Pelodiscus sinensis: one gene and its partner. The protein of the gene in region 2 binds, or shares a complex with, the protein of the main gene of each other region. Links are inferred from orthologs where the notes say so. Each region holds a gene or a part of one and is shown on either strand. Other genes may lie near its edges.

The links. Proteins that work in one complex are often made in the same cells at the same time.
Region 1: the proteins of SNTG1 (region 2) and transient receptor potential cation channel subfamily V member 3 are in contact, whole or in part, in a crystal structure (PDB 7QQN), measured with the Homo sapiens proteins. The link is inferred for Pelodiscus sinensis from reciprocal best matches to the Homo sapiens genes SNTG1 and TRPV3. Residues at the interface, in NP_001274742.1 of Homo sapiens: Arg62, Gly66, Gly67, Phe68, Gly69, Leu70, Ser71, Ile72, Lys73, Gly74, His78, Ser85, Lys86, His118, Glu119, Val122, Arg126; in NP_659505.1 of Homo sapiens: Pro786, Glu787, Thr788, Ser789, Val790.

Annotation. Positions count from the first base shown.
Region 1 is NC_134731.1:3,845,063-3,852,698, forward strand, and holds the start of transient receptor potential cation channel subfamily V member 3, read left to right. Parts: upstream 1-4,546; 5' UTR 4,547-4,685; intron 4,686-5,639; exon of another isoform or gene 5,640-5,711; intron 5,712-7,636. UniProt on the Homo sapiens protein: Non-selective calcium permeant cation channel. It is activated by innocuous (warm) temperatures and shows an increased response at noxious temperatures greater than 39 degrees Celsius. Activation exhibits an outward rectification.
Region 2 is NC_134712.1:68,483,150-68,490,725, forward strand, and holds the start of SNTG1 (gamma-1-syntrophin), read right to left. Parts: upstream 3,003-7,576; 5' UTR 1,595-3,002; intron 1-1,594. UniProt on the Homo sapiens protein: Adapter protein that binds to and probably organizes the subcellular localization of a variety of proteins. May link various receptors to the actin cytoskeleton and the dystrophin glycoprotein complex.

The sequences.
Region 1 (7,636 bases), on a different chromosome or scaffold from region 2:
TTTTCCACTAGCAGCTTCCTCCAGCTTAATTCCTTGGAAATTAATGGTTACTTAGTAATTAGGTAATTGTACTTTTAAAGTTACGATATGAAAGGAATTTTTTTCATAAGGGATGCCGGAATAATTATTATTCATGGCACTATGTCAGTTAGCTTATCATCACTTGTAAGTTGTAAAGAGAAAACAGATGGGCACAGGCAGGCAGATGGGAAAGAACAAAGAAAAAATGAGACAATATGGTCAGCAGGATAAGCTATGGTCTCTGCATATTACCAGTCTAAATGTTGTGAATTTTTCTGTGGGGACCTCAGCAGAGGAGAGTATTAATCATAGAATACTAGGACTGGAAGGGACCTCAAGCGGTCATCGAATCCAGTCCCCTGCCCTCATGGAAGGACCAAATACTGTCTAGACCATTTATCTAACCTACTCTTAAATTCTCCAGAGATGGAGATCCCACAACCTCCCTGGGCAATTTATTCCAGTGTTTAACTACCCTGACAGTTAGGAACTTTTTCCTAATGTCCAACCTAAACCTCCTTTGCTGCAGTTTAAACCCAATTCTCTCAGCCTTCCTTCATAGGTCATGTTCTGTAGACCTTTAATCATTCTTCTTGCTCTTCGCTGGACCCTCTCCAATTTCTCCACATCTTTCTTGAAATGCGGTACCCAGAACTGGACACAATACTCCAACTGAGGCCTAACCAGCGCAGGGTAGAGGGGAAGAATGACTTCTCGTGTCTTGCTCACAACACACTTTTAATGCATCCCAGAATCATGTTTGGTTTTTTTTGCAACAGCATCACACTGCTGACTCATATTCAGCTTATGGTCCACTGTAACCCTTAGTTCCCTTTCTGCCATACTCCTTCCTAAACAGTCGCTTTCCATTCTGTATGTATGAAACTGATTGTTCCTTCCTAAGTGGAGCACTTTGCATTTGTCTTTATTAAACTTCATCCTGTTTACGTCAGACCATTTCTCCAATTTGTCCAGATCATTTTGAATTATGACCCTATCCTCCAGAGCAGTTGCAACCCCTTCCAGTTTGGTATCATCCACAAACTTAATAAGAGTACTTTCTATGCCAATATCTAAATTGTTGATGAAGATATTGAAGAGAGCCGGTCCCAAAACAGACCCCTGCGGAGCCCCACTTGTTATACCTTTCCAGCAGGATTGTGAACCATTAATAACTAAGAAACGATTTGAAGGAGTATAATGAGTTGGTTTTGTAGAGGTTTATGGGGAGCTCCTTCCAAGCACAAGAGGAAGGATGAGAGAAAGGAGAAAGGTACTCTTTGAAAATGTAACAAGTGTGTGATAAAGGCTGGTACCATGGACCCATCTAGGTAGGAGCTGACATTTTGATAGGGAATGAAAGAGGGTGGGGATAGGCCAAGATAAAGAATCTTGAAAGTGAAGACAAGTATTTTATAAGAACATAAGAACATCCTGGGTCAGACCAAAGATCCATTTAGCTCAATACCTGTCTTCTGACAGGATACTTATGTCTGATGTGAAAGGGAAGGGGGAACCAGTGGAGGAATGTGAAATTTTTCTTCAGGCCACAAATGTCTAATTCCAGGAGTCAATTTCTTAAGCCATTCATAAGCTTCCATTTCCAAAACCTCTTCATATTTGCTTTTTGTTTGCTTTCCAAACTTCTTATGCCTTCCAGCTCCCTTTTATAACATGAGCTGTTGGTCCATTAGACTCACCTCGTTAAGTACATAACTCTCAAGATCCAATGGAGTTGTCACTTCAGTGAAGTTAATTGAGAGAATCTTAAGCATATCTTCGAGGCATGGTTACATATCTTATGCACACAAACTGTTCCCTGATAAAGGTAAAACCAAGGGAAGGAGAGGAAAACTTGAGGCTACACGGTGAGGCTTTGTCAATGCTGTGGGTGGGTTTTTTCGGAAAAAGATAAGCAAATTGCGAACCGCAACTTGCATATCATTTTATGCTTGTTTTAACAGAAGAGGCTTTTCCAACATTTGGCCTATCTACATGGAGCCAAATGTTGGAAAAACCTCTTCCTTCAGAACATCCCTTATTCCTCATAAAATGAGGAATACATGGATGCCGAAAGAATGCGCCCGTTTTTTCAGAAACTGTTCCAGAAAGGCGGATGCCTTCCCTGGACGCGGCAGAGTTTTTCTGGGATACCTCTGGTATCCCAGAACAACTCTGCAGTCTAGATATAGCTTTATAGGTGCCCGAAGGAAAGAAGTCCATTGTGTTAATTATTATTCCATTAGGAGATTTACCTGATGTTGCTCGGGTCCTTAACTCAATTAATTTTAATTTTTCTTCACTTGAAGCAGAGCTCTGGGGGAGCCTGGAAGTGAAGGGTTCAGGATGCAGACTGCCCTGAGGAGAGAGGAGAGAGGCAGAAATTTGGAGCCAGGTGAGAAGTGCCTCTCCATGGCTGCTGCAGCTCCAGCAGGCACAGCCAGGAGAGGGGTACCTGTCCCCCAGCTGGGAGAGGTCCAGGTTCCTCTCCCCCTGAGCTTCCTAGCCAAAGTGAGCAATGCAGCAAACTTTGCAATTTCCCTTTACTCCCTGATGAAGGGGAATAGCCAGCAATGTTCCCGTCTGAATCGAGAGAGCTTCAGCTTACCCCTCCTCCCAGCTCTCCCTAAATGGCACTTGGAAGCGAGAAATTTGAGGCTGGGGCAGTCCTGAACCGAGGAGGGCACACGCACAGCCAGCCCTTGTTACCCACCTGGTAATTCTGTATCTTTTCTGTATGGTTTGATGAGACACAATCCCATTCCAGGCACATCCTATTTTCCTGGCACAACCAGTTCCTTACCTTGATTTAAGTTACGATAAGACAAAGCCATATACCGAATTTGGTGGTCCTAGCTCTTACGGTTTAGGAGGAGTTCTTGAACAAACAGACAGACCCACAGACTCTCTCAACTATATAGCAAACTGTGAAAAACAAGCAAGGTTGCAAAATTCCATTCCCTTGGAATTGGCATTACACAATGCATTGAAATTAGTGTTGTTGATACAAAACATGCAAATTCATATCCTCATGAAGCCTAAAGATACATCTTTTGAATCCCTTTAAAGACAGGAAATGCTTTAAAACATCTGCTGTATCCTCACTATTTGGAAACGAATGGCTCTCTAAACTCTCTGGCTACATCTACACTGGCATGATTTTCCGGAAATGCTTTTAACGGAAAAGTTTTCCATTAAAAGCATTTTCGGAAAAGCGTGTCTAGATTGAAGCTTTTCCGGAAAAGCACTTTTTGCAGAAAAGCGTCCGTGGCCAATCTAGATGCGCTTTTCCGCAAAAAAGCCCTGATCGCCATTTTCGCGATCGGGGCTTTTTTGCCTAAAACAGTACTGTGCTCTTTACACTGGCCCTTTTGCGCAAAAGTCTTTCGGAAAAAGACTTTTGCCCGAACGGGAGCAGCATAGTATTTCTGGAAAATCACTGACGATCTTACATGAGATCGTCAGTGCTTTTCCGGAAATTCAAGTGGCCAGTGTAGACAGCTGGCAAGTTTTTCCGGAAAAGCGGCTGATTTTCCGGAAAAACTTGCCAGTCTAGACACAGCCCCAATGTGTTATGAAAGCAATTAACTATACATGTCTTTGCTTTCTTTGTCTCTTTTTGGAGTGCTCTCAATTGATCTTTTCACGTTTGTTTTGTGTTTTTTGAATAGGTAACATAGTTATATATTACACAGCTTGGACTAACTTGGTCCGGCACCCTCAGGACCTGATCAGTCCCGAACAAGGAGATTTGCCGCACCAGGGGTTTTCTCTTGCTAAAGACCTCCTAACCCTCTGCCCCTCCCTACCGCAGGCTGCTTCTGGCTATGCTTGGCCCTCAGGCCCCCGCCTCTCTGCCGCTGGCCCAGCTGGGGCTCTCTGGGGCTGGAGCTCCATGGCCCCTGGGTCAGGAGCTACCACTGGGGCTGGAGCTCCCCAGCCACCACCGGGCCCAGAGCTGCCCTGATGCTGCAAGAGCCAGAGCTCCCCATTGTGCCACGGGGCTCCCCAGCCAAGTCGCCTCCCTCCCCACCCACTGTACTCCTGCCCCGCTGCCAGACCTCTCTGTCCCTTGGCTCTGTGGTCTAGGAACTTCCACGGTCCTACTAGACCACAGATGTTGCTGGACCAGAGTGTCCCAGTTTAGGGAGGTACAACCTGTACAACAAATGAAGTATGACATAACACGATTTACAATATCAATGGATATATTCTTACTAATACGGAACACAGAAACTAAAAAGCTATGTATACCCTTGACTCAAATGTCATTGCCTCATCATTAAGTGACTCAGATTTATTAGCAACTATTTTAAATATATAATTATTGGCAGTGTTTTATCTCCCAATTTTGTGAGTAGTGCAGTGAAGGAATTGTTGTCTAGCAAGTCTGTCTGTCGCTTGCCCAATTTCAGGCGTAACCCTGAGGTGTTCCAGTTTTAAGTACTACAGTCAAATGGAAACTGCACCCAAACAAACTAGATGACACGGAAAGGGTGCCTCACATTTTTAGGATGCTTTTAACCTTTAAGAAACATTTTTTGTTTATTGTGCTCTTTCACCTTTTTGGATACAATAGCAGCATTGGTGACAACCGCTTTGGAGTTCCTTCTAACAACCATAAGCCACCTTTCCAATATACGAATGGGAGCTTCCTAACCAGGGTAAGTCATCTTAGAGCTCATCTGGATGCAGATTGCATTATGGTACGCATGTGGAGATTGAGGACTTTATGTGACTCTGCCATTCTTTAAAAGGCAAAGGATAAAAGAGTTCCTTATTTTTAAATGTAGTAAAGCTTTTTGTGATTTATTAAACCAGAGCTGTGTGACATGACAAATCTTAATTCCCTAAGTATGTAGAAGTGAAAACAGATAAAATGTTTTTATGTATACTTATCTGATCCATAGTGACCTTTTATCATTTATAATCTAGTAAATACAGCTGTTCACAATTCTGTTGGGGAAAAAACTAAATTTAAAAAACATTTCCATCTTTTTCTGAAGGACTCAGATGTTACATTCACTCCCAAAAGCAGAATGGTAGTCAGATCAGTTCCTTAGTGTTTCTATAATGCTAAGATCTATAAAGAAAAGAGTTCTGATCGATAAATCCTGTATTCCTTAGGGAAGAAATTATTTTTCACAGAGGATTCTGCCAATTTGTAAAAACAGTTTTTCATGGGAAAACTCATTTTTCTATTGGGAAAAATTAAGTTATAGTTTAGTGTCACATCCCCAAAATACACATTCCCCTCCCCCCAAAAGCATGAAAATATTAAGGGAAGAGGATAAACCAGATTCTTTGCTCTTTGGGGGTTGCTTTGCACATTTTTACAGTTTATGTCAGTCAGTCACATATTAGAGAGCTGCAACTTATTAAAGGAAGTGTGAATATTGTGCAACACCTAGCATACAGGACTTGTGGGTTTTATAGATACTCTGGTACGGGTTGAACTTCTCTAATCTGGCACTCTCTGGTTTGGCAACATCTGTGGTCTGGCATCATTTTAGCTAGCTGGATGTCCACTTATGAGGGGTGTAGTCAAGTTTCCTGCAGTACCATAACGTTTGTTTGACCTGGCAGTGAAAATGTTGGTAATGCTAGAAAATACTGACCTCCACGGTTTGGCAAATTCTCTAGTTCTTCCCTGGTCAGGTTCCAAGGGTGCTGGACTAGAGAGATTCAACCTGTAGTACAAATAATAAAAAGAGCTGAAGAACAGAAAGAACACCTTTATTGTAGAAGTGTTTTTTAAAAAAACATAGAATAGAAATCATTACAGGTAGTTATTTGGTTTTTGTTTGTTTGTTTGTTTTTGAGAATTAGGAAAAGAGAAGAGGATTCTACCATTCCATTCTGACCCACTTCACTGTTTTGGTTTTTTATTTGTTTGTTCTCTATGTCTTAACCAAGATGATTGCTGTTATATTATAATTGATGTATACATAAGGTTACTCAATAGGGGTATGTCTACACTACCCTCCTAGTTCGAACTAGGAGGGTAATGTAAGCATACCGCACTTGCAAATGAAGCCCAGGATTTGAATTTCCCGGGCTTCATTTGCATAAGCGGGGTGCCGCCATTTTTAAAACCCCGCTGGTTCGAACCCCGTGCAGCGCGGCTACACGGGGCATGAACTAGGTAGTTCGAACTAGGCTTCCTAGTTCGAACTACCGTTACTCCTCATTCCACGAGGAGTAACGGTAGTTCGAACTAGGAAGCCTAGTTCGAACTACCTAGTTCGTGCCCCTGCACGGGGTTCGAACCAGCGGGGTTTTAAAAATGGCGGCGCCCCGCTTATGCAAATGAAGCCCAGGAAATTCAAATCCCGGGCTTCATTTGCAAGTGCGGTATGCCTACATTACCCCGCTAGTTCGAACTAGTGGGGTAGTGTAGACATACCCTATGACTGCTTGCATCATGAAGTACTACTCACTGTAGGGATGGAATCATCTGATTTTGGTACAGTAAATTATGCCCTTACAGCATACCTAAAGTACAAGATATATCTACTATTCTCTAGATACATTCACTTTATACTTCATATTATTTCTTAATGCTAAGAACCAGCACAATATTTTATTGTCGCATTCAATTCTGCAAATAGGTAATGAAAAAACTGGCTGAAAAATAATGACAGAATAGCTGGTTGGAGTAAAAATAGAAATGTGCAGAGAATGCGGAGCACATCCCCTGTCAGATTATGACAATAAAGCAATCCAACTTTAGTTTGTATAGTGCTCATCATGTAAAATGTATCTCAAATCACTTTACAAGATCAGAATGATGTAAGATACTGGAGAGAGTCTGGTATAAATGACAGAAAACAGCAGAGCAGAAGAAGGGTATTGAATGATGAACAGATTATCATTCAGTCATTAGACCAATTACATAGAGAGGGAAAAATTAAGGATACACAGGCATCTCAGAATTAATGATACATACATTAAATGTCCACTGTCTTCAGTGAAAGTTGCATGGATATATCTAAGAAAAGAATTTAGTTCTATGGGGCATATTTTCAAAGTCCCAAACCTGGCCACTAATTTTTGTGCTTATTTTCAATTGATGCAATTAAATATGCACACTAATGATAAAATGTAAATCTTTCACAATCTACCGCTCGGGCAGTTAGATATTTCCATTCTACTATTTATGCTGCATTCAATTACTGGTGCAAAATTAGATCCGTCGTTTAAAAATGTGGCCTTATGGATGAGACTAACCATCCAGAACTCTCAAAGAGCTTTGACACTCCTCAGCTGAGATTTCTAGAAATTTTGTCTCCTCTTTCCTCCCAGATTCTTTCTTGTGTCTCTTTGCTTTAGCATCACTGAAAATGTCATTATCCTTCCCATCACCTAGATATACAACCTCAATATCATCTTTGAATCCTCACTGTCTTCTTCTCCATTTCCTTATATTTTGGCTCTTGCTAAAAACTAAAAATCACTTCTAAGGGTAAGTCTACACAGTCAACTGTCCTTTCCTCTCTAGGCCCCTGGCTGGTTAACTTCCACCTCACCAAGCGTACCTGCCTCCTTGTATCTTGCCTTTCATTTCTCCAATCCATACAGAAATCCATTAGTCATCTAGCTATTCTGACCTTTT
Region 2 (7,576 bases):
CTTATTTCATCCTTTTGCTATAACTGGTGCTTTAGTCATGTGTTCAACATATAAGCACCTTTTTATCCTATTATGATAATGTTGCTCAAATGAGAAAAGTGTAGGCAGCTGTATATAAAAGGATCTTCCTTCTAAACCCTCAGAGTTGACAAGTGCTGACAAATCAAAGTGAATTAATCTGGAAAGATTTGGGATTTTTTTTTTTTGTATTGGTCTCCATTTACTGGAGACTTCTGTTTAGAAAATAAAGTCAAATAAAAATCAACAATTATTTCATACCCATTTACTTTTCTATAGAAGGAAATCCCTCTACATTACTTGCAGCAGGTACATAGAATTATTTATGTTGTAACTGTCAAGCAAGTTCATTGCTGTAAATGAATACACATCCTTAGCTCCACCCTTTTATCCCCACTACCACTATTGAAAGTCATATGCTCACTGGAACTGATCATGTTCTAAGCAAAATGTCAATGCTTGGCTGTAAATCAGTGTAATTTTTTTCTCCCTGTGAAACCTCATGCTGAAGCAGGATGCTCATCAAGGTCACTATAAGATTATAGTTTTCAGTCTTGTAGAGAAGGTGCTAAGAAAAATCAATAAACATAAACATAATTAAATAAGCTTTGAAGTTTGTTGTTTGCCTTTCAATGTGAAATCACATCTTCATCTCCTGAATTTCAGTGATGGGTGGCAGGTAGATACCATGAGGCAGGTCAGCTAACTTATGCACTAGCTGTGCTGAAAGGTGAGCAGGAAATCTGGCATTTTGCAGTGTGACAGCTTAGTTCTGAGCAAACTATCTTCAACTGAATTTTTAGGAAGAGATTATAGTCTCCTGGGCTTGTCCCTGCTCCCTCCTAAGTAGAGTTTTAGTGTGGACTTTCAGCGGAGCAGGACTGGACAGCTTGCTTACTACACCTTTTCTGTATGCCCTGTTAAACTGAAACCATGCTGGACCCAACTTTTGTTTTCTGATTAATGTCAATCACCAGGAAGATCCATAGATGTACATAACTTCATATTTTTTCAAAAAAAGCCAGGAAAACAAAACCCACAAGAGAAGGAGCATCAGAAAAAAAACAATTACCAAATGGCATGGTAAAAGTTAAGAGATATGCAGATCAAATTCAAGCACTGTAGTGCATTGCATAAATGCCTCAGATACACACCGGGCTATCCTACAAGAGCGGTGGCTAAAATGCACTCTAGTAAAAGACTCCCACTATTGAGGGACATGCAAACACAGAGAAAAAGATAGCTGGGATGCTAATAAACATACACGGCATCATTCCCAGGGGCTGTAGCTGCAGAAGTGGTCACCAGGCTAGTCCTTTACCCCTATTCTTGGGCAGCTGCTGTAAAGGAGGTGTTTACCAGGCACTTTCACAGAGAGGGACCCAGGCTGGCTTGCAACAGAGCCCACTCTGTCGCACATGTCTCACATGAGGAGCCCTGGAGGAGATCGAAACCCTCAGGTGACTCCGCTACCCGCCCTACCCCCCAGCCCAGGACTTCCAAACCACCAGCTGCAAAGCCTCGGCGGCGAGACCTGTACGATCAAGGAAATCAAGGATGGGAGCCGGTGACTTACTTGCCAATGTGCTAGGTCAGGCGAGCTGCTCTCTCGGTGGCCCAAACGTGGCAGAGCTGGTCCTCCTCGGATCTCCTCTCCGCGCTATGGCCAAAGTATTTCCAACCCACTCGGGGACATCTCCGCGGCTTATTTAGCGTCACCAGGCATCTCTCTCCCCTTGGCCCGGATCGCAGGGGCCATGATTTAAACCGCAGCCTCCGGGAAGTTACACTCTTATTTGTGTTTTCAGAGGGGGGGGGGGGGGAATCGGGTGGAAGTGGCTGGTGAGCGCTCCAACTCCGGAGCGGAATGACGCCACCGACCCCGCTTGCAGTGGCAGGGGCGGGGGGTTACTTTCCGGCCACCCCAAACAATAAAATAAATAACTCGGAGGGGAGGGGGAGCGAGAGAGGAGGGAGCGCCGCCCTTTCAGCAGCAGAGCGAGGCGAGCCGGTGGATGGGCACCTGCAGCGGCAGCGCTGGGTCCCGCTGCCTGCGGAGTCCTGAGGCGCTGCCCATCCCTGCGGAGGGAGAGGGGGGGGGGGGGATCCGAGCCACCGGGAGCCCCCGCCAGCTGCCACCAACTCGCTTCCCGCGCGCGGCGGGGGAGGAAAGATCCGCCGTGCGGGGGCTGGAGCTGCCGGGCGTCCTCCGCCGCTGGAGCGCGGGAGAAACCCAAGTCCCTCCGTGCACAGCCGAGCCCCAGGCAGACAGGGGGAGAGATGGCGCTTGGGCGGGCTCCAGGCGGGAGGCAGGAAACTTACCGCGCCCCCGCCAAGTGCAGCGGGTGAGCCCCGGGAGGGGAAGCCGGGCTCAATCCGGATCCTCCCTGGGGAGCGAGCGCCGGGCTAACATCCGAGCCGGCTCCGCCAGGCGGCTTCTGGCTCCCCGCCGGGCCCCCGAAAGGAAATCACACGTGACGGGGAGAAGTTGAGGCTGCGGGGAGAGCGCTTTAAAGGGGAAAAGCTGAGGCGCTGGAGGGGGGTAGCGGAGCCCACCAATCCTTGTCCCTGTGGGGCCCGGGACGCTCACATTCCGCTGCCTGCGCGAGGTCCAAATCCAGCCAGCGCTGCTATTTCAAAACAGCCTTGGGGCCGGGGCGCGCTCAGTGCAACAGCGCCACAAGAACTCGCAACCTGCCCCTAGAGCCCGAGAGACTCGCCCCCCCCCCCCACCCCGATCCGCGGGCTCTCGCCCCCTAAAACCTTCATGTACAGAGAACAAGCCCACATTTTGCCACCGCAGCAGAGAATAAATGTAGCTTCTCCTATTGTTCTACTCCTTCCTCCTTTGGCCCACCCAAAATCTGCAGCAGGGCTTCCCAGAGCACCCAAAAAAACCTTGATGGGGAAGTGAAATATCAGATAGCACTGTTAAATTTTCCTCCTTGAACCTCCATATTTTGTCCATACAGAGAACGCCATTTAGCGTCTCCCTGTTGTATCTTTAAAATCCACACGGATGTGCCCCAGAGCCAAACTACCACCCAAACTTAGACCCCCCCCCCACACACACACACCTGGGAGCATGCCAAAGTTTCACCAAACACGCAGAACATGCACCTAAAATCAGAGTTAAAGGCGATGCTTCTACTGTTGCCTCAACAATCCGGACCCAGCAAAATTTGTAACGGCAAATGTTCTCATTGGGTACCTATAGCCTGCTAGAAATGGCTAATTTAGGCGTGCGTGCTCTATTTTACCTTCTTCTCTGTCTTACTGTACGTCATGAAATGCAATGCACTGCTTGGCAGATGGGAATACATTATCTTCTATATTCAGTAAAAGTTATGCATGGCTTTTTAAAACAGATACAGTTAAAGCTACAGGGGCTTTTTAATATTAAACGAACTGTTACAGTCCTCAACCAGTCCCTTGTCAATTAGATTACATAATCTACAAGCCCTTGACTATTTTCTAATTTGGGCTCTGGTACTTTGATTTTGTTGTGGCTCCATCTGCTAAGGAAATAACGCCCTGATTGCTACCGTAAAGAGATAAACAAAGATCCATATTTTATCATTTGCATGGCTGATCATTTATGGAACATCTCAGATCTGAGGGTTGCCTCCAGCTTTTGTTGCTAACATATTTAAAATGCATACTCCTAACTAGTTGCAGTTTCACAGGTTAAACTGATGTTTTCAACTTTCTATGTAATTGTGAGGCGGGCATAGGGAAGAAGGGGCAATGTTGGTGAATCATGATAAATTTGGCCCTGGATTCTGCACATGTGCTAAAATTTAAGCGGTGATGCAGCCAGAAGCAAAGTGGTGCCAAAGCAGAGTTTTTACAGCGTTCTACCAGAATTGGCTGGGGACTGGGAAGAAACATTTGTTTTTGGGGAGTGGGGGAGGGGCGTGGCAGAATAGTAGATCAAGCTTGTTCTGTATTTTAAGGTCCCTGGCCAACATTTGACAAGGTCCAGGTTTTGTATGCAGTGTTGCTTCTCAGTTCTGTCCCTGCAACAAGAGCAGCTAATTGTGTTTACAGGGGTGGGAAACCTTTTTTGGGTTGGGGGGTTGCAGACCCACACAAAAATGTCTGGATTTTTCACAAATTGAGAAACAAAAAACCCTCAATGACATGGCACCCAACTGAGAAAGACAAAGAGGCTCCCCACATTCCTCTTGCACACCAAAGCCTGGGGGGGGAGGGCAAGCTAGTAGATTTTCTGTGCTCTAGCTATGGAGCTGGAGCACCAGCACAGGTTCCCCAATACTGGGGGGAGCCCCAAGACTCAGGGGCCAGATCCAGGCAAGCAGAAGGCCACATCCAGCCTGGGTCTTGGATTCTCCACCCTTGGTTTACCTTGGGAGGGCATGGCAGGATCCTTTCACTGCTCTGCCCTGTGGCCCAAGAAGTGTACCTCCACTCTTTCCAGTTTATGGGGTAGAAACAGAAGTGGATTACCAATAGGCAGACTAAGCACATGCTTAGGGCACCAGCTAAGCAGGGGGCACCAAAAAATGAGATTTTACAGTATAGTATTATTTTTAATTTTAAATTACTTATGGGGGAACATCATAATCTTTTCAGTGCTTAGGGCCTCTAAAGGTCTTAATCCAGCCCTGGGTAGAAATACTGGGGGCAAAAATGTTTGCTGGATCTCACAAGATCCAAGTGGTGGAGCTGAGATTTTGCAGGTTGTGCCGAGATGCCTCAGAGAGCTGGGTGGGTGTGAAGCAGGAGACACTAGATTCGTCCCTGTTTTATGTGGAAGTGTTGGAAGGACAAGAGGGAAAAGGGGGGGGGCAGGCTCTAGCGAATCCTGCCTTTCCCGAGAGCTCCTTTAAGGGCTCAGTCGCAGTGAGAACAAATCAGTGACCTAGCTTATGTGCTTGCAGTTCCCAGGACGCCTGCCTTTTCCTCCCCTTCCAATCGATTGCTGGAGGAGTCCTAGCCGGCCGAGGGCAGTCGAAGTGCACGGACCCTTGGGAAGTTACAGGCAGAAGGGGAGGCGGCAGGGGGCAGACGCTCACGCCTGCCTGGCCGAAGCAGTGATCTTAGTGAGAACAGAAGCCGCGTGGGTGCTGGGAAAGGCTCGGCACGCGTGCGGAATGTTGGATATTTTGGGAGACGCCACCTCTTTAAAGACTCGGTCCCCCTGTAGTTTGTTGATTGCTCGCCTCGCCTGCCTTGCGAGGAAAGCTCGCCGGTGCTCGCAGAGAATGAGAGCGAGCTTACTGGGGAGGGACTCACACACCCCACACGTGGAGGCGTGTAACGTGGGGAGAGGGGGCTTGGCGAATTAATTCTGCTCGGCCGGGGAAGGAAGCCGCTGCTTGCACCCAGAGACGTCGGCTGCACCCGGGCAAAGGGAACCCGCGGGACTGGAGAACCCTCCACCCCCCAGCTGCATCCTAGCCCAGCTGCCGGAGCAGCCGCGGGGGCTCGTAGGGCGGGGGCGGGGCTTCAAACGCGTTCAGGGATAGGCTGCCGCTCGCCCCGACCACGCAGCTGGGCGGCCCCGCTGGATGATTTCAAGCGCCGCTTCCCGCTGGGTGTCAGTCAGAGCGAGGAGGTTTGGAGCCGCATCTCGCTCCCTTTCTCGGCCTGTCCAGCCCCTTTGCTCCCTGCTCGCAACCCATAGCATAGCGCATCCCCATCCTCGAGACGCTCAGCCAAGGGCAGTGTACGGGAGAGACATTTAAACCACGAGGGACCAAAGCAAACATCTTATTTATACAGGCATCCAGAGATCAGTGCATTGCAAACTCCTTAGTCCTGCGCTGGCTTAGTGTGGTGGTGATCCTCTTGATTTTCCCTTGCGGGGGGCGGTTAGGCTGGCAGATAAGATCTCTGAGCAGGCTTTCAATAAGTAGGACCAGGCCATATTTAGAGGACTAATTTCATCCCACTGACACTAAGTGGCGCTATAGAGACGAGAAAAAACTCACCTCTTAAACAGCTGAAATAAATGGACACTTTTCTCAGGGTTTGGGGTGACGGTCTAAAAGGCTTTTGGGAGTTTGAATTTTATTGAAAAGTTAGCAGCACGCGGTGTGCATTCCCTTTTCTAGCAGTAATGCCACACAGTTGAAGGGAAGTGATAGATCTGAGGAAGTGGGTCTGGCCCACGAAAGCTCATCATCTAATAAACCATCTTGTTAGTCTTTAAAGTGCTACATTGTCTTGCATTTTGCTTCAGCTGAAGGGAAGGGTAGTTGGGAAAATATTAAAAATGATTTCCTTGTTGATGTTTTACTTGACTTTTCTTGCAATTAGGCTGCTCTTGACGCAGGATTATTTAATTTCTAATTTTTATTGTTGAAAGCTCTCCAGCTGTAAATTTGGACCTGATGCAAACAAATAGTGTGAACAATAACTCTTCTATCACTTTTTATAAATATTAACTGCAATAACATTCAGTGAGCCTAGGCATCAACCAACATAATGCAACTTTATGCAGATTAAGTGCTAAACTAATAGGCTATGTCTAGACTGGCATGATTTTCCGCAAATGCTTTTAACGGAAAAGTTTTCTGTTAAAAGCATTTGTGGAAAAGAGCATCTAGATTGGCATGGACGCTTTTCCGCAAAAGCACTTTTTGCGGAAAAGCGTCTGTGCCAATCTAGATGCGTTTTTGCGCAAAAAAGCCCTGATCATCATTTTTGCGATCGGGGCTTTTTTGCGCAAAACAAATCTGAACTGTCTACACTGACCGACTTTTGCCCGAATGGGAGCAGCATAGTATTTCCACAAGAAGCACTGATTTCAGACAGTAGGAAGTCAGTGTTCTTGCAGAAATTCAAGCAGCCAATGTAGACAGCTGGCAAGTTTTTCCTCAAAAGCAGCTGCTTTTGCGTTAAAACTTGCCAGTCTAGACACAGCCATAGAGTTACTCTAGAAAGAGTAAATAAATTGTGATTTGATAAATACATAAGAACATGCACTCTGATGGAATTTATGCCTATTTGAACACATATACTTTGTATCTGGAGATACAACCCCCTTTTTAAATGGTGAAATATTAACTGAACAATATATCTGCCACCCAAATATGTATGTGACTCATGTTCAGTTCTTTTCAGTGGATCAGTAATTTGAATGGTCATTTCCAGTCATGTTTCTTTGGGGTTTTTGCCTCCACACAACTACTGGAAAAGTCAATTATATCTGCTACTATCCAAGTCTAAATATATCTATCTTTGAGTTGAGACACTTAAACGGATCTGATGAGATTGCAACACTGCAAGGATAACTCAAATATATGCTAAATCAATACATGAGAAAAGGCCCGTGAGTTTGAAAATGGATGCTCTTCTTCAAAAATTAAGCCAGTCATTTTCATCGTATATTCAGGAAGGACATTACTGCTTGAACGCCTGACAGAAATGTTGTTGAATTGAGTGTATTTGTATTTATCTATCTAATGCAATAACTTATCAGTGCCACATCTGATCAATTCCATGTTTGCAGGGAATGCTCTAGTCACCACTGACCATAAAGATTTTGATTTGGGAGAAAATTGGAAAACCAAAGCATGGAAAATGGGAG